Linked DNA regions of Oryza sativa Japonica Group. The protein of the gene in region 3 interacts with the protein of the main gene of each other region in a pairwise test. Links are inferred from orthologs where the notes say so. Each region holds a gene or a part of one and is shown on either strand. Other genes may lie near its edges.

What was found.
Region 1: the proteins of type 2 DNA topoisomerase 6 subunit B-like (region 3) and OsSPO11B interact in binary tests that used the Arabidopsis thaliana proteins (3 or more experiments, as listed by UniProt). The link is inferred for Oryza sativa Japonica Group from reciprocal best matches to the Arabidopsis thaliana genes AT1G60460 and SPO11-2.
Region 2: the proteins of type 2 DNA topoisomerase 6 subunit B-like (region 3) and SPO11-3 interact in binary tests that used the Arabidopsis thaliana proteins (3 or more experiments, as listed by UniProt). The link is inferred for Oryza sativa Japonica Group from reciprocal best matches to the Arabidopsis thaliana genes AT1G60460 and RHL2.
Region 4: the proteins of type 2 DNA topoisomerase 6 subunit B-like (region 3) and SPO11-1 interact in binary tests that used the Arabidopsis thaliana proteins (3 or more experiments, as listed by UniProt). The link is inferred for Oryza sativa Japonica Group from reciprocal best matches to the Arabidopsis thaliana genes AT1G60460 and ATSPO11-1.

What each region holds. Positions count from the first base shown.
Region 1 is NC_089042.1:3,347,992-3,352,533, reverse strand, and holds the start of OsSPO11B (meiotic recombination protein SPO11-2), read left to right. Parts: upstream 1-1,522; 5' UTR 1,523-1,596; coding exon 1,597-1,680; intron 1,681-1,770; coding exon 1,771-1,990; intron 1,991-2,420; coding exon 2,421-2,558; intron 2,559-2,649; coding exon 2,650-2,738; intron 2,739-2,844; coding exon 2,845-2,973; intron 2,974-3,058; coding exon 3,059-3,153; intron 3,154-3,304; coding exon 3,305-3,367; intron 3,368-3,454; coding exon 3,455-3,531; intron 3,532-3,601; coding exon 3,602-3,729; intron 3,730-4,171; coding exon 4,172-4,306; 3' UTR 4,307-4,542. UniProt on the Arabidopsis thaliana protein: Component of a topoisomerase 6 complex specifically required for meiotic recombination. Together with MTOPVIB, mediates DNA cleavage that forms the double-strand breaks (DSB) that initiate meiotic recombination.
Region 2 is NC_089037.1:9,846,241-9,850,579, forward strand, and holds SPO11-3 (topoisomerase 6 subunit A3), read left to right. Parts: upstream 1-1,456; 5' UTR 1,457-1,787; coding exon 1,788-3,116; 3' UTR 3,117-3,556; downstream 3,557-4,339. Other genes in the region: cysteine-rich receptor-like protein kinase 25, read left to right, coding at 197-346, 461-543; pentatricopeptide repeat-containing protein At5g02830, chloroplastic, read right to left, coding at 4,054-4,339. UniProt on the Arabidopsis thaliana protein: Component of the DNA topoisomerase VI involved in chromatin organization and progression of endoreduplication cycles. Relaxes both positive and negative superturns and exhibits a strong decatenase activity. Involved in cell-elongation processes.
Region 3 is NC_089040.1:30,832,506-30,836,933, forward strand, and holds the end of type 2 DNA topoisomerase 6 subunit B-like, read left to right. Parts: intron 1-480; coding exon 481-674; intron 675-1,487; coding exon 1,488-1,629; intron 1,630-1,873; coding exon 1,874-2,067; intron 2,068-2,195; coding exon 2,196-2,319; intron 2,320-3,163; coding exon 3,164-3,463; 3' UTR 3,464-3,647; downstream 3,648-4,428. Other genes in the region: protein RER1A, read left to right, coding at 4,323-4,428.
Region 4 is NC_089037.1:31,891,255-31,895,704, forward strand, and holds the start of SPO11-1 (meiotic recombination protein SPO11-1), read left to right. Parts: upstream 1-1,592; 5' UTR 1,593-1,639; coding exon 1,640-1,739; intron 1,740-1,833; coding exon 1,834-1,945; intron 1,946-2,022; coding exon 2,023-2,099; intron 2,100-2,185; coding exon 2,186-2,287; intron 2,288-2,381; coding exon 2,382-2,455; coding exon of another isoform or gene 2,456-2,466; intron 2,467-2,689; coding exon 2,690-2,706; intron 2,707-2,995; coding exon 2,996-3,065; intron 3,066-3,152; coding exon 3,153-3,189; intron 3,190-3,664; coding exon 3,665-3,712; intron 3,713-3,804; coding exon 3,805-3,863; intron 3,864-3,952; coding exon 3,953-3,984; intron 3,985-4,061; coding exon 4,062-4,167; intron 4,168-4,450. Other genes in the region: phytochrome C, read left to right, coding at 17-310, 869-1,106. UniProt on the Arabidopsis thaliana protein: Component of a topoisomerase 6 complex specifically required for meiotic recombination. Together with MTOPVIB, mediates DNA cleavage that forms the double-strand breaks (DSB) that initiate meiotic recombination.

The DNA.
Region 1 (4,542 bases), on a different chromosome or scaffold from region 3:
GGAAAGAGATACCCCTTAGTGGAAGGAGTGCTTAGTGCAACCTCTTGAGGAAAATGTTAGCAAAGACCCGGCTCTTAGTGAGCTCTTCAACGGAGAGTAGAATCCCCTTAAGGATTTGAACTCCGGGAACAACTTCGTGAACTTCATCATTGGTGATCTCCCTTCATCCTCCTTTTAGCTTTGCTTAATTGTGCCGCTATAGATCTAGTCGCTATTTGTGCTTTACTCTTGTTTGTGTGATAGATCTACTTGTTGTGCTTCCTTGGTGGATCAGACAGTCTGATCCAACATCAGACTATCTGATATTTTCGGATAGTCTGACTGTGGATCAGACTTTCCGACCTTATATCAGTTTTAGCTTCCGTATAAAGTTTTAAATTAGCCTATTCACCCCCCCTCTAGGCCTAATTGACCCTTTCAGAACTAATCTCTCCGACCAGCAAAACGGAGCGATTTATTAGTGCATGATTAATTAAGTATTAGCTAATATTTTTTAAATGAATTAATATGAATTTTTAAAGTAACTTTCACATAATCTTTTTTTTTCAAAAAAAAACACACTGCTTAATAGTTTAGAAAGCGTGTGTGCGGAAAATGAGAGGAGTGAGTTGGGGAAGAAGGGGGAAGAATACAACCTTAATGACCTCGTCAGCTCAATGACATCAAAAATCACTTCCCAATAATATGTTTCGAATTTATTTAAAGTACAACTTTTGAGTGGTAATTCTTATACTCAGCTACCCTTTCGAATAATTCACACAGAATATTATTCATTTTCAAACTTTAACTACTCATTCTTTCAAAACAAATTGTAAACACTAAAATAGATGGCATATTTGTTAAAGTGTATGGCGTCTGAAATATAACCATAAAATCCCCGTTATTTGTAATATAACTTTTTAGCAATTATTTAAAAATAGTTATAGCCAGTGTTGGCATTATTTAAAAACGGAGGGGAAAAAAAACTATGTATGGCAAGTCCTTTACTCGCTACCCTCGGCCTTGATCACTAACTTCCATTCTTTTGGTTAGATTATGGTTGTTGCACTATGCTTCTATAAATATTTTCAATGGATGAAATATTACTATTAAAATATTAATGCTATTACACTTTTTATACAAATACTTATAACTAAACCTTCAGTCCTTCCCAGAAGCTTACATTATTAGTTCCTTTTAAAAGGTCACCACAATTTCCTTTTTCTTATAAGAGGAAATCACCATAATTTCATATGGGGACTTGTTTGGATCCTCTAGTTTGCACTGCACAATGAGTACACACTGGTACAAGTCATTAAAGTTGAGGGTTAAAAATAACCAAATCTACTGGGGATAAAATGGCCGATTACAAAATATGAGGACCAAAGCTAAACCATTTTGTCTTTATCCTCCTTTATATTGGTCCGGCCCACCATCTACCTACAAAGCCCATGTATATTACAGCCCATCATTTCTAGGCCCCGCCCGCTACAAGTCTACAACGAGGTGGCGTCTCTCCTCTTTTCCGCCTCCCCAACGGGAAAGCGGAAACCTGGGCGAGTTGTCCGTTGGCGCCGCCGCCGGCGAGCTCGCGCACGGCCGCCGCGGCAGTACGGGATGGCGGAGGCGGGAGTGGCGGCCGCCTCGCTCTTCGGCGCCGACCGCCGCCTCTGCTCCGCCGACATCCTCCCTCCCGCCGAGGTCAGCCGCTCCTCCTCCTCTTCTCCCCCCCTCCCCTCCGCTTCGACCGAGCCGCGGCAAAGCTGACGTCACGCGGTCGAATCCCGGCAGGTGCGGGCGAGGATCGAGGTGGCGGTGCTCAACTTCCTCGCGGCGCTCACCGACCCGGCCGCACCGGCCATCTCCGCCCTCCCGCTGATCAGCCGGGGCGCCGCCAACCGCGGCCTGCGGCGCGCGCTGCTGCGCGACGACGTCTCGTCGGTGTACCTCTCCTACGCCTCCTGCAAGAGATCCCTCACGAGGGCCAACGACGCCAAGGCATTCGTTAGAGGTTGCCTCTTGATGATCTCTTCCATCTTATTTTTAAAAAGTAAATTTCATATAACCATAGTCTCAGTTACACAAATCCACGAGGATTTTGACAAAACCACGCTATCGATCATTTTGACTTTAATCTACCGTACATTTAAGTTCTGTGCAATTAAATCTCAAATTTATGAGTTCATATGAATGTGACATCCATGTAAATTTTGACGTGGGAGTGTTAAATTGGTTAACGACGTGGTTTTGTGAAGCTTTTAAGAGCATAATACCCGGGGTTATTTGCAACGTGTCAAAATTTCTATGGTTTTGTACAACTTGGACTATAATAGGTGTGGTTTTGTGAAATTTACTCTGTTTTTTGAAACGATGATATTTTCCATCTTCAACTTCAGCCAAAAAAAGTGTGTTTGATTCGTTCTCATTTGCTCTTGAGACAGTGTGGAAGGTGATGGAGATGTGCTACAAGATTTTGGGGGAGGGGAAGCTGGTCACCCTGAGGGAGCTGTTCTACACGCTCCTCTCTGAATCGCCCACCTACTTCACCTGCCAGCGGCATGTCAACCAGACTGTTCAAGGTCCACGCATTTCTGAATTCTGACTCCATTTTTTTTTTGTCGGTTGCTCTAACTTGGTGTCTCATAATGTTTGTGCCGTGTTCTTGCGCAGATGTCGTCTCGTTGCTCCGGTGTACGAGGCAGAGCCTGGGGATCATGGCGTCGAGTAGAGGGGCACTGATTGGGCGGCTTGTGGTGCAGGTGTGCCTCATCCCATGCTATGATGAGTGGAACATGTGTTGCATATTGATTGCATCTCTTGTTTATCTTGCAGCAGCAGCCTGAACCTGTGTTTAAATTGTCCTAGGGGCCGGAGGAAGAACATGTTGACTGCTCCATTCTTGGACCTTCTGGGCATGCGATCACTGGAGATCTCAATGTATTGAGCAAATTAATCTTTTCTTCAGATGCGCGGTATATCATTGTAGTGGAGAAGGTACTCTCTTTGCTTGTGCAATCTAGTGGTATTGTATTGCCCCCTCTTAGTTACTTCCAGCTGATCGCTCGCTGGTTTGATATAGGATGCCATATTTCAGAGGCTGGCTGAAGATCGCATATATAGTCACCTTCCGTGTATCCTGATTACTGCAAAAGGATATCCTGATCTTGCCACAAGGTTCTGTGCCTTAAATGTGCATTACTCTTTTCTTATCTAAATTTGTCCAGCTTATGTGATAGAGAATACACTCAATGTGACCATGATATTGTCAACATTATTAGGTTATCTTGTATACTTATACTATTTGCTATTCAATGTTCTGGAACAGGTTTATCTTGCATCGACTGAGCCAGACTTATCCGAACATGCCGATTTTCGCATTAGTAGACTGGTTTGGTCCTTCCAAGTGCTGATGTATAGCTGACTTTCTCTTTATATTTCAGGTGAAGTTAGTTTTCTTTTTTTGATCATTTTTCAGGAACCCAGCAGGGCTTGCTATACTATGCACTTACAAGTATGGAAGCATTTCAATGGGTTTGGAATCATACAGATATGGTACTTCCTTTGAGTGATCGATGTTTGATCATGCCAAATTTTCGAAAAAAATTAATGTTGCTTTTTACAGCTTGCAATGTAAAATGGCTTGGCCTAAGAGGAGATGATCTGCAGCTTATACCTCAGAGCGCATATCAAGAACTGAAGCCACGTGATCTGCAGATTGCCAAAAGCTTGCTGTCATCTAAGTTTCTGCAGGTGAGTCTGCTAACCCTCAACTTTTGGACTATGTAGAAGTATCTGGAACATAGAATTAAAACATGGATACAACTGTGCAAAATGGTTCAATCACAATGCAACCTGATACCTAGTATATATGTTCTGTCCATGCATCAAGTAGCACCAAACTTCTTTGGTCAAGTTTCAATATGCATCAAAAGGTTTGGTCACATGAGAAATTGAGATCATGTTTCAGCAAAATGTCCTTGAGGACTGCTGCAATGGAATTATCTAGCCATTCTGAGATCTTGTTACATGCCAATACTGTCTGGCCTTCTTATAGGCAGTGTTTACCCCAGTGGGTGAAAAAATGTACTGTTCTTGTCATTACAGGAACGATGGGAGTCCTTAGTTTCTGATCATGTTGCCTTCTGAATTGGAAACATGCAATATTGTAATGATGATGTTGTGTTGGCTGCAGGACAAGCACAGAGCTGAGCTGACACTGATGTTGGAGACAGGCAAGCGTGCCGAGATCGAAGCTCTCTACTCACATGGGTTTGATTTCCTGGGGAAATATGTTGCAAGGAAGATTGTACAGGGTGATTACATTTGACAGTGCATTGCTGCCTGCCTCATGGTTTCTCTGGTTTTACTGAGAACTGAAATTTTGAGCTGATTCCATCAGCCCTGGCCCTGTCCAGTTTTCTTCAAAAATGACTTGTATCTTTGAAGAATGTTGCTGTTGTTACTGCACGTCCCCTGCGTGAGTATGCTGTATGCAGAATACTTGAAATTATTACACCATCTGAAGGTGAAGGAGAAATCTGAACCTTGACATACACAAAAGGA
Region 2 (4,339 bases), on a different chromosome or scaffold from region 3:
GAATGATTTCCCGTTCTTCTAACTCGTTGTTCGTCATTTGTTCCAAGTTTAGGTTTGTGTTCATAGATACATTTAAATTTGAATCTTCACAGTTTATACAAAATTAGGAGAAACAATGGGAAAAAAAAGAAAAAGAAGTTACAATAATACTCCTATACGACAAGAACCTGTCGATTTTGTTTATCAATGGCTGCAGGCAATTTGACCGCAGCAGACATCGTGAGTGCGACTGCCTTCGTCATAGTGATGATCTTCCTGGTCAATTTATTAGTTTGTTTGATGACAGACGCCTTGAATAATTACTGGATTCGTTCTGCCAAGGAAGAAGAAGCATCACCACCAGCTGGCAAGTTCTCTCTCCTGTTTACTATTATTTTTCCTGTTTAGTCTAGTAACAAATTAACTAATTGCTGGTTGATTGTTTTGATCGTAAAATATGTGTTGCAAATTGACAATGCAGGTCATGTACGAGGAAATGTTGCTGCTGTGAAGGCAGCGCAGATCGTGCCAACTCAGTACGCAGATCAGAGGATTGCTGTCTGAGTTCTATACGCCGGCTAGTGTAGAAGCTTGGCCACTGCATTGGCCATTAATTTCCTGGGTGTTATATATGTGTCATGTGAACCCACTCTACCTAAGTATTTACAGCTAGATATATAGCTTGATCTGGCTAAATTGGCTCAGTGGCCAATTAATTAAGTGTGTACTCTTTATTGTCTCGTCCGAACACAACTACTTGTATGTCCAGTTGAAAACAGTACGTGGCCATCGTGCCTTGCACCAAGGTATATATTGTTGGGTATTTGGTTTTCTCTCCACGCTTGTATATATTGGAGTTATATCACAAGCTAGTGTGTATCTCACCTTGCAAATTTGATGTTATCTGAAGCCACAGAATTTGAAATAACAACAATGCAACTATATGAGGCATTTCATAAGAAAAAGCTGCTCTTATTAAAATTTATTCATTCCCCATAGAATAATCCACAAATATTACATATATACAGCTGTGCTTTTGATATGTTTTCTGTGAGATATGTATTTGCCAATTATCCCCATATCTCTTTGAGCGTGTGCCATGACGCACATTCGCATGTGCGTGAGCGTGGCACTAATGTGTAGCTGTATGTATATCCGTGTCTTCCGTGTAATTGAGAAAAAAAATAAATCAACTTATTTTTAAAAGGGTCAACACACCATCCCCATATCCATGTTTTTGAAAATCTTTGGTGGACTTTCTTAATGTTTTTTCACAGCGATTTAAGTTTGTAAAATTGTGCCATGTCTTCCCTAAAAAAAAAATCCCTCAAAAAAAATTGTGCCATGTCAATGAAACGCTGACCGAGTCATCAGATATGGCTTATGTGCCTCATTGCTTGCCAAAGATTTATTATAAACTGTATGATAACAAAATAATTTGTGTATAAAAATTTTATATATGGGTTCTTAGCAACTTAAAAATCCATATAAAATAAAGTACGTTAAAAATATCTTAAAATTAACTTTAAAATAATGTTTGAAAATTCAAAATTTAGCTTCTAACACTTTTTAGGTGTACCGATGGGCTCAGAAGTTTCGGCTCACCTCACCACTTCACCAACCTATCTGGCCCGCTCACTACCGGCACAATCCTTCTCTTCCGGACTCTCCCCAACCACGCCGCAGCAACACGCGCCCAGACTCTAGTCGAGTTCAGCACTTCAGCCCCGCCGCCGTCTCCGCCGCTCAAAGCGCCCAAACCAAAATCCCCTAGATTTCCCCACGCCCCCGCCTCCAAATCTCTCGACATGTCGGAGAAGAAGCGCCGCGGCGGGGCAGGCGCGGGGGCCGCGTCGGGCTCCGCCTCCAAGAAGCCGCGGGTCTCCACGGCGGCGTCGTACGCCGAGTCGCTCCGCTCGAAGCTCCGCCCCGACGCCTCCATCCTCGCCACCCTCCGCTCCCTGGCCTCCGCCTGCTCCAAATCCAAGCCCGCGGGGTCGTCGTCGTCGTCGTCGTCCGCCTCGAAGGCGCTCGCAGCCGAGGACGACCCGGCCGCCAGCTACATCGTGGTGGCCGACCAGGACTCCGCCTCCGTCACCTCCCGCATCAACCGCCTCGTGCTCGCCGCGGCGCGCAGCATCCTGTCCGGCCGGGGCTTCTCCTTCGCGGTGCCCTCCCGCGCCGCCTCCAACCAGGTCTACCTCCCGGACCTCGACCGCATCGTGCTCGTCCGCCGCGAGTCCGCCAGGCCCTTCGCCAACGTCGCCACCGCGCGGAAGGCCACCATCACCGCGCGCGTCCTCTCCTTGGTCCACGCCGTCCTCCGCAGGGGGATCCACGTCACCAAGCGTGACCTCTTCTACACCGACGTCAAGCTCTTCGGCGACCAGGCGCAGTCCGACGCCGTCCTCGACGACGTCTCCTGTATGCTCGGCTGCACCCGCTCCTCCCTCCACGTCGTCGCGTCCGAGAAGGGCGTCGTCGTCGGGCGCCTCACCTTCGCCGACGACGGCGACCGGATCGACTGCACGCGCATGGGCGTCGGCGGGAAGGCCATCCCGCCCAACATCGACAGGGTCTCAGGCATCGAGAGCGACGCTCTCTTCATCTTGCTGGTGGAGAAGGACGCCGCGTTCATGCGTCTCGCCGAGGACCGGTTCTACAACCGCTTCCCGTGCATCATCTTGACGGCGAAGGGGCAGCCGGATGTCGCCACACGGCTGTTCTTGCGGCGGCTTAAGGTGGAGCTGAAGCTGCCGGTGCTGGCATTGGTGGACTCCGACCCATATGGGCTGAAGATCTTGTCAGTGTACATGTGTGGTTCCAAGAACATGTCATATGACAGTGCCAACCTGACAACACCGGATATCAAGTGGCTCGGAGTGCGGCCAAGCGATCTGGACAAGTATCGGGTGCCGGAGCAGTGCCGGCTTCCGATGACTGATCACGATATCAAGGTGGGGAAGGAGCTGCTTGAGGAGGACTTTGTGAAGCAGAATGAAGGATGGGTGAAGGAGCTGGAGACGATGTTGCGGACGAGGCAGAAGGCTGAGATACAGGCTCTCAGTTCATTTGGTTTCCAGTATCTCACTGAGGTCTATCTACCTCTCAAGCTGCAGCAACAGGACTGGATTTGAGGACCCTTTCTATGCTAGATGAATAGGTGAATTTTCATGCATTTATTTGACTACTGCGCTGTGCACTAGATTTATTTATTTAAAATAAGGTATTTTTGAGAATCAGTATTCCCATGGGCCATGGCTAGTCGAAGTCAAAAGGTAGCTCCAAAATGTTCAGTCAAAATGCATGGTTAACTAATTTCTATGTTAGATTAGGTTCTTTATGTTAGGTTCTTTAGGAAGTATTGCACACCCCTGACTGAGAGTTTGTAGGATCAAATTGATAAGGGTGACCAAGATTGCCTCGTAGTACCGTCAGATGTGGAAATCTTCTTCTAGCATTATGTATTTGAACAGCAGCTGCTGTGTGTATTCACTAATTTTTAAGAACATGGAAATGCTTACTTCAGCATGTATTCAGAGCAGGTATAGTGACAGGAAATTCAAATGTTACTGTGATATTACTCATGTATCCTGAGCATGTATTCAAAACAATGTATTCCAGCATTTATGTGCCAACTCCATGTTTGGATCAATGTAGAATTGGAGCTGTTCACATGTGTAACTGAGCACATCATGGCATGTTTTTAAGAGGCACAACAATACAGCCATGGGCATCTTGGACATTTGTTTTGCAATCAGGTTTCAAATCTTGAGCGAACAAACTTGTTACAAATCTATATTAGGCAATGGTGCTCAAAATCCACAGACAGTGGAGTATTTCACTGTACTCGGTCAGCATGTTTTTCAGTTTCCATGGAATTGCGGGGATTGCAAGTTTCCAGCAATAACCTAATAACTTTAATTCTGATGTTTTACCGTATCTGGATGGCCGTCCACAAATTCCTTCTTGTGAAACCGTGTTGGGTTGATGTCACTGAGTAGCACCAGCCAACCTGTACATCTGTATACACTACCTTATCTTAGGATGACTCTGCAAAAGGTTGAGGAACTGTCACTGCACAGTCCTCACAGCTTTCCTCTTCAACCAATGATTCAGAGAGTTGATCGGGATCTTTATCATCCCCTGCGGTCTCCTGGAAAAATGTTTAGAAGCTAGATCTAAATGACTCCTAGAACGAGCTGGAACTGTGGGTTTGGACGAAGCCGGGCGACTTCCAGGTCCAATTAAAACCTCAAGACCCAACTCATCCGTCAGAACAGCAACTATTGCATGCTCGACCTCGACAACACTAGTCTCGGCCTTGGCGCTTGATGCCTTCCCATGACCAGTGATGATT
Region 3 (4,428 bases):
CTCATACCTTTGTGCATGATGTGCAAAATGAAAATACATGTTCCTGTATTTATTTATTTACTTCTGAAAATTCACAAATACAAAAGTAACAAAACACGGTGTTCATTGGTCTATGCTACAGGGCAAAACAACTGAAAACCCTAATATTGGAGTTTCCTACAGATGCATTTGTTTGATAAGTTCTTAACAGCCATCTGATATCATATCACCAATTTGTCTGCCTGCATTTTCAGACCAACAATATTGTGTATCCTGAGATGTAATTAAAGGATATAAAACTGATGATCATGATTCATCCTCAGTACTTGGTTACATTCCATTCCTCCGAACATGTCTAATTTTACTTTGTGTTTGCATATGTCCAGTTTTAGTTGTTGCACAGTAAACAGGCCTAGAATTAGAAGCATCTATCTGCTTTTACTCTGTTTTTTCTTATTGTGACCTCTTAAATGGTTGTTTGATTTCTTTTGTACTACTCAGAATTTAGCATGTGAGCTCTTTGTTGCGCAAACAGACAGTGCTGGATCAGGAGACGTTTGTCTGTCACAAGATTCTGATGATGTCCATATTTCCATTACCACATCAAGTATTGACCGTCTAGTTTCTGGCCTTAAAGATTATGCACTCTCACATGCTAACACATCTGACAGGTGTGAAGCATGCTACATGAACAGGTAAACATTGCTTGCTGAGTTTAACTCTAGACATATTTGTTTATTTCTTTACTTTGCTATTGGAAATAGATTTATGATGTGTGTTATCTTTTGGATTTTGACTTTCAGTGGAAGCTTATCATTAGCAATTTAGCATCCATATTTAATCATTTTTCTGGAACTTGCACTTGAATCGCTAAACAACAGGTTTGAAGTTAATTTATGGGTGTTTTAGACTTTGTGTCACATAGGAAAAGTTGTCGCTCATGAAGCGGTAAATAAAATAATTGCAGTCACTGATTCTGAATGTAGTTATGAAAACTCACTTGTGCACACACGAAGGCTGGGGGAATAAGTCTTATCCCATCACATCTAATAAAATCTGAAATGTATTAATCAAATATGCACAATTGAGTGTATCAACATTATTTAATGTGAAGATATCAGATCCTGCCGCATTTGAGCTCTAGAATTGTATATATCAAGGCCTAATAGCTTTCTTTTGTTAAACAAAGTACCGATCTATCAGATGAACTGCTTCAGGTGGCCAACAGTGTCTGGTGCTATTCGCTAGATTTGAGTAATGTCTAATTGCCCCATTTTCCCATCACCCAAAGTCCCAAACCCATTCAGCATTTCAGTTCAACCTTTTTAGGCATGCTTGTGTATCCTACCTTTCGGTAGCCTGGTATGTAGTAGTTGAATTCAGTCATGTGCATACTAATGAATACCATATGTGTATCATCTATCTCTGCAATTGTACATTCCTCAAATAGCTTTGATTACATAGTTGATAGGGCTTGTATGTTTTGCTCTTCTGCCGTCTCACTTCAGAGATCGCCTGAAGATTGGAACTGGAACAGCAAAATATGTAGACAAAAGAAAAGCTAAAGGGCAACTTGTTGAAGTAGTGATAATGCTTGCACCTACTTCATCTGATTTGAGCTGTTGGATGACAAATTGTTCATCTACACAGGTTTGCACCATAGGCCTCTAAGTTACATAAACTAATTATGCAATTACATTAGCATACTTGTTCTTGTGATGTCTAACTGGTTATGGGTGTAGTATACAAGCAAGAGGGCCTCTTGTGTGGTATATTCTTGCTTGTATTTAGTAAGCTTATAAAAGTTATAACAGCATGGCGTCCAATGTTTATGCTGAAGGTGTGGTTCAAGTATGCTCACTGCTTCCACTCAATGGTGAATTGTCTATTGTAGGTTTTGCATTTTGTAGAGTTCATACCATGTCCAATCTCACAATCCTCCCTCAGTGCGCTGATGAGCATAGACTGGCAAAGCTACGGTTTCAAGTTTAAAGGGGGTTTCATTGATGACGATGGAAATGCTGAGCTTCAATGGGATAACATGGCATTTTCTCATGTCGATATTGCCATTCACACTTACCACGAAGGATATCCAGCTTTTGTTTTGTGCATGCTTTCTTTTTTCTAGTGATGGTGTCGCCTGTCTATTTGGCTGTGGATATCTCTGTTGGATTTCCCATCACTGTATTTGGCTATCCTTGACCTGCTGTAGCTACTGCTGTTGATGAATGGAAGAGCTCTCAACCTGAAAGGCATCTTCTAAGAAAGGCACTTAAGTCTGCATTGTTTGGATTGAAAGCAGACCATGCAGAAGACTTTCTCAGCTGCCATGGCCAGAAGGTTTGTGCCTTCTACACTTTGCTGTTAACCACGTAACTGGTGTGTTTGTTATTTCCATTCCTTACTTGTATGTATTTTCTGCCTGTTATAATTTATAACTCAAGAAAAACTATTGTTAGACATAAGGTAGTACTGAACCGACACCTGTTAGATTTAGTGCAACCTCAATGCAACACTTCTTAATCTGTGCCACCTGCCAACCTCGCAAAGTGACCACTTTCTGTATAGTTGCTCTTTTGGTCACACAAATTAGATTGACGTCATAATAAGCTTCATATTATAATTTCTGTAACTTATCATCAGAAATAATCACTCTGTTGGTTCCTACCTCAATGTGAATATCATCTTCACTTTCCTTGATACTTCTTTCCCTTGAAATATCAAGTGTGTGTCGGCTTTATACTACGAGGGGAAAACTGTATAGGGAAGAACTGGTGTGCCTACTGCCTAGTACACCCTAGCAAAATTACCACTCCCCTTAAATACCGAACAAAGACTAGACGGCAATATTGTTCAGCTTGGGAATGGGCTTTGTAAGTCTGTATGCCCTCAACTATTCTTGCTAGTTTTCATCAGGACACACATTGAATCTTAGTTTGGTGGCAAGCCACAAATGACATGGCCTAACATTTGCGTACTGTCAGTTCAATTACTACAAACTTGAAAAATGGATTAATCTGATATTCTAGAACAACTTTCATATAGAAAGTTTTCACACGAAACGCACCGTTTTACGGTTTGAAAAGCGTGCCATGAGTATCCAAAAGTTAATCCAACCTAAGGTAACTTGATGTAACTTGTTATTGCCTACAATTTGATGTAACTTGTTCTTTCCATAATTCAGGTTCGCGAGTATGTCCCTGATCTCGCAGAATCGATAGCTGGCTTAATCTTATCATCCAATGATCAAGAGTTCCAAGATGAGTGCATCGCTCTTCTCGGCCTAGGCTCAGATCAAGATCTCACAGAAGGGGCGGTTAGATCCTGCATCGGTGAGAAGATGAACCGTATCGTAGAGATGAATGACACCAAGGAGAACGTAGAGCACAACGCACCTTATCTGTTCGAGTGCGAGAGGTTCGATGAAGATTATAGCCTACTGGATGAAGACGACCCAGATGAGGATATGATTTTCGATTTCTAGCATTTCCAATTGTCTCGTAGCACTCCTAATCCAGAGATCTCCTATGCTGTGAGAGAGCTTTACTTTGACCAGAGAACTTTATAAACACTAACAAAGACTGCTCTCTGAGACTGTTTCCTGCCTCGTGTAAACAAAATTCAGACATTGTTACGTCAAAAATTCAGAAACTGCAAGTAATTGCCCATGTGCTGAGCATCTCTTTCTGTTCGTTCTCGTTCATGATAATATCTGCGTTCAATAACTCCATGAAGATTGTGTATACTATAAGCATTTTTAAAATAGTGCCAAGTCAAATATTTTTAATTGTGACTATTAATAGAAAAAAATAAAAAAAAATCATGTAAAATTAATATTAGTAGATTTATCATTAAACAAACTATCGTACTATACAATTATTTGTATTTAAAACATATTACTTTTATAGATATTGTTGGTTAAAGTAGCATCTCGAAAACCGTGTCGAAGTCCAAAAATACTTATATTTTAGAAAGGATGGATAGAGTATAACATTACAGACAAATTACATTATTTTTGTAGAAAATTCCACAAAATTTGAGTTGAATCCTTGCCTTCTTGATATCAGAAAGACGCGTGAGGGCGTGAGGCTGGATGCGTGTGGCCTCCTGACCTCGCGTCAGACTCAGAGCCCCATTTGCTTTTACAGAATGTGAAGCGTCCTCGTCTCGTCTAGTCCTCTCCTCCTCCTCCTCCTCCCTCCTCCTCCTCTCCGCTTTCGCTTTGACCAAACCCAAACCACGCGCAGCGCTCCCATCGCCCAGGGCAACGCCACGAAACCTAGCCCCACCGACTCGCCTCGCCTCGCCTCGGAATCCCCCAACACCAGAGCGCGGCGGCGACCATGGAGCCCTCCCCCGTCGGCGGCGGGTCCGCCTCCGGGTCGGTGGAGCGGTGGCGCGCGGAGGCGTCGCGGGCGTTCCAGCACTACCTGGATCGGGCGGCGCCGC
Region 4 (4,450 bases), on a different chromosome or scaffold from region 3:
CTCTGTGCTCCCACAGCTACACGGAGATGAGCACCGTAGATTTCAACCTGGAGGAAGCCCTGAATACAGTCCTAATGCAAGCCATGCCCCAGAGCAAGGAGAAACAAATTTCCATTGACCGTGATTGGCCTGCAGAAGTATCATGTATGCACCTCTGCGGGGACAATTTAAGGCTTCAACAAGTCCTAGCAGACTTCCTGGCATGCATGCTTCAATTTACACAGCCAGCTGAAGGGCCTATTGTGCTCCAAGTCATCCCCAGGATGGAAAATATTGGATCTGGAATGCAGATTGCTCATCTAGAGTTCAGGTAAGCCACCCATTTGCCTTGTGGAACTTATAGTGATGTTTCTTGAACTGCAAGTACAGCTTTACTGGTAATAGAACCAACTTAAACTTTGCATGCAATGACCTAATTTCCATTACTCCAACTCAACTTCTCTGGGGAGAAATCTGTTTGTTAACATGCGTTCAGTAAGTACTAGAGGCGCACTATTGAGTTCCAGACACCTTTATTCCTGCAGCTTGTGTTTACTGTCCATCTTATCAATAGAGGCAGGACACTCAGTAGTCACATAAAAACTGACGGTTCAAAATAGGCCTTCCATATTATCTCAACATAAACATAGCATAAACATAAAATGCAATATCGTAACATCTGAGTAATGACTATATAACCAATTCAATGATGCAACCCTTACAACTATTTAAGATAACGGATAACCCGGCCGACAACCCTTAAAACTGTGAGTAAAAGGAGATTGATTAGATGATGCGAAGCTTTAGATTGTTCGACGAGCTTGCTGGGGCACAACCCCACTTAACAGAAGCGTAATCTAACATCTGCCCAACGGTTGGCTCCATGCAGGCTTGTCCATCCAGCTCCGGGCGTTCCAGAGGCTCTGATACAAGAGATGTTCCGCCACAGCCCAGGTGCATCTCGAGAGGGCCTTGGCCTTTACATAAGCCAGAAGCTCGTGAAGACGATGAGCGGCACGGTTCAGTACCTCCGGGAATCAGAGAGCTCGTCGTTCATCGTCCTGGTAGAGTTCCCGGTCGCCCAGCTCAGCACCAAGAGGTGCAAGGCTTCCACGAGTAAATTCTGAACTTAGGGCTATGGCCAAAATTCTTGTGGGTGCTGTATTGTTGTTGTTGCTGCTGCTGCTATTAGCAGATCAGGCAGTCTGAGGAGTACGTTAGCTGAAGATGTATCAGATGTGTGTAGCTTGTGAAAGTGAAGGTAGTGGTTGGATAGATGTATTTGTCACGTTGATGTCTGGAGAGCTAGTGAGCGAGCTACTAGGTGTTAGTGTAATTTAACCGGCAAATGTATGAACGAATTATGAATAAAATCTTCACTTGTGTTGTCATGAATAAAATCTTCACTTGTGCTGTCATTATTTCCGAAATTATTCATCAAATTCGAAAAAAAAAGAAGTGAACTATTTATATATTTTATCGGACAAATACACAAAAATCTTAGAATTATATCGAGTTGTGTGTGAATTAGATTGCGAATAGGCCCTTGGTAAAAATGAAAAAAAATATGGGGGTTTTCAGTTTTTACAAGCCCATTTGGTCAATACTGGGCTAGCCGTTGTTGGCCCGACCGCCGGAGGCTCACTCGCAGCGGTCGATCATGGCGGGGAGGGAGAAGAGGCGGCGGGTGGCGGCGCTCGACGGCGAAGAGCGGCGGCGGCGGCAGGAGGAAGCGGCGACCCTCCTCCACAGGATCAGAGGTGCACTCCCCCTCCCTCTCGTGATCAATCGCTTAAAAAACTTCTGAATCCTTCATCAACCGAAGTAAACACGCGTCCCTCGTTTTTTGCGCAGGGTTGGTGCGCTGGGTCGTCGCCGAGGTCGCCGCCGGCCGCTCCCCGACCGTCGCGCTCCACCGCTACCAGAACTACTGCTCCTCCGCCTCCGCCGCCGCCGCGTCCCCATGGTCGGTTTCCGCGTCTCGCCCTACCCTACCATCTCATCGGCCGTTTCAAATTCTCACCCCGCTGTATGCGCTTGCAGCGCCTGCAGCTACGACGTCCCCGTGGGCACAGATGTACTCTCGCTCCTCCACCGGGGCTCCCACGCCTCCCGGCTCAGTACGCGTCGTTGATTTTTGTCTCAACCTGCGTATCTACGATCATGTTAATGTTAATCAGTTTGGGATGTTTTAATCGATGTGCAGATGTGCTCCTCAGGGTTCTTCTCGTCGTGCAGCAACTCCTGCAGCAGAACAAGCACTGCTCCAAGAGGGACATCTACTACATGTACCCCTCCATATTCCAAGGTCTGCATAGGTTCCATGCCTCCGCTTCTGCTTTTGTTTCCTGCTGTGTGTGACAATTGGAATTCTGACACCTGTTTTTGTCTAAATACTGCAGAACAAGCGGTTGTTGACCGTGCAATCAATGATATATGCGTACTCTTCAAGTGCAGCCGGCACAATCTCAATGTGGTATGTACCGCGTAATCTGTGTTATTTTCCTTCAGAATCTTCAGTTTTGCTTCTAGAAGTTGCGTGTGCATCACATAATAAGATTCCACTTTCCAGCTGCTACATCCTTTGTGCCCACATTTCTGTCATTAATCACCTGGAGCCTTTTTTTTCTCAATGCTGTTTTACATCTTGAATTCATGTGTATGTACTGTCATAACTGACTGGAATGTGTGCTACCTTGGCTGCTTGCAGGTTCCTGTGGCAAAAGGGTAGGAACTCTGTCAACTATCATAGAGTTGGAGTGTCTGAAGATATGTTTAACTCATTCTACTGTCCTATTGATTGTCCATGCCAATACTTAATAAGATAACTTCTAACCCCTTATCTTCCAAGCACTTGGTCTGCTTAAAACAAAATCTGGATGTAAATAGTGAGATGCTTCTCTTTTAGCAAGGGCTTATAGAGCACTGTGAAGCTACCATTACAGTGCTATGCTCATATATTCTTCACCTATTCATTTCCCCTGTTAAAAACTCATCAATGTCTTTATTATTCCAGCTTGGTGATGGGCTGGATTAGATTTTTAGAGGGAGAAAAGGAAGTCTATTGTGTAACGAATGTCAATGCTGTAAGTTCTATGAGTTTCCTTTAATCACTGTAATATGTTTCTTTCTTTTTATTGATATGGTTTGATTTTTGCCTTCTTCAAATGCAGGCCTTCTCTATCCCAGTTAGCATCGAAGCAATAAAAGGTTGTTCAGAAATTTAAAGATCTAAAATTCAGTATTTATGTTACTGTTAATCTGCACTGAAAATAATTCCTTTACAATTTGCTGACATGGATTGCGTGAGGGGTTGGACCATAATCTCAATTATTCAGAATTAGCCACCATCCTTTGTTTTGAGAGAATCCACTTTGATATATTCTGAATCGAATAGCTAGGATTGATCTCTTAGCAAGGTGCTGTTCATTAGACTAAAGAATAAAGTCAGTGCTTAGTATCTTTACCCGTCTTGATTTAAGATATGCCAGAAAAAGACTGGACAACAAGTGAACCCACAGTTTATTCTTCATTTTCCTTACAAATATGCGGTTGATTATACTTATATCTTTTACTCACTTTATGTTACAGATTTCCTCTCTTGTTATCTGTGAACTTCAGTGTTATCCCTGATGCCTGAATTATATCTCAAGGAAATTAAGCTATCTTAGGTTTTCTCTTGTAGATGTTGTTAGTGTTGCGGACTACATACTTATTGTCGAGAAGGAGACAGGTATGAGGCTTAAAGATTCCTCATGTGCATGTGATACTTGTACTCTTCCAGTTCCAGCCTTCCTACAGTTCGCTTCTGTACTCTCCTTGCAGTGTTTCAACGTTTGGCTAATGACAAGTTCTGTGAAAGGAATCGCTGCATTGTGATTACAGTACTTACTAACTGCTGAATCTGGTGTTATACACAAAATATCTTCTTGCATTTATTCTTATCTAGTTTGATGTTGTTCTGTCTGCTCAGGGAAGAGGCTACCCAGATATTCCAACAAGAAGGCATATACTCTTTGTTATACTTTTCTCTTTTATTTTTCTGAATTGATATTTCAAATGTAAATACTTTATTTTTCCAGATTCTTGCGCTACCTTGTTGAACAGCTGCATTTGCCAGTTTACTGTTTGGTGGATGCAGACCCTTATGGTTTCGACATTCTGGCTACCTACAAATTTGGTTCACTGGTGGGTCATGATTTATCTAATTAGCTGTTTGCTTTGTATTTGCTATTATGCACTATCTGAGCATACCTGTTAATTAAAAATCACATATAACCACTTTATGCAAATGACTACTACACTTTCCTTATCAGTAGCTCCCAATAGCTGGATTGACCTTTATGCATTACATTTTTGTCCAGTATCAAGGCACATTTGAATCAAACAGTATGCCTTCAGTTTGTTTGGCAGCTCTAAGCCCTTTTAGCATGTCTTGTTTTCACGATATTCTGTCCCATTTTGCTGGTAG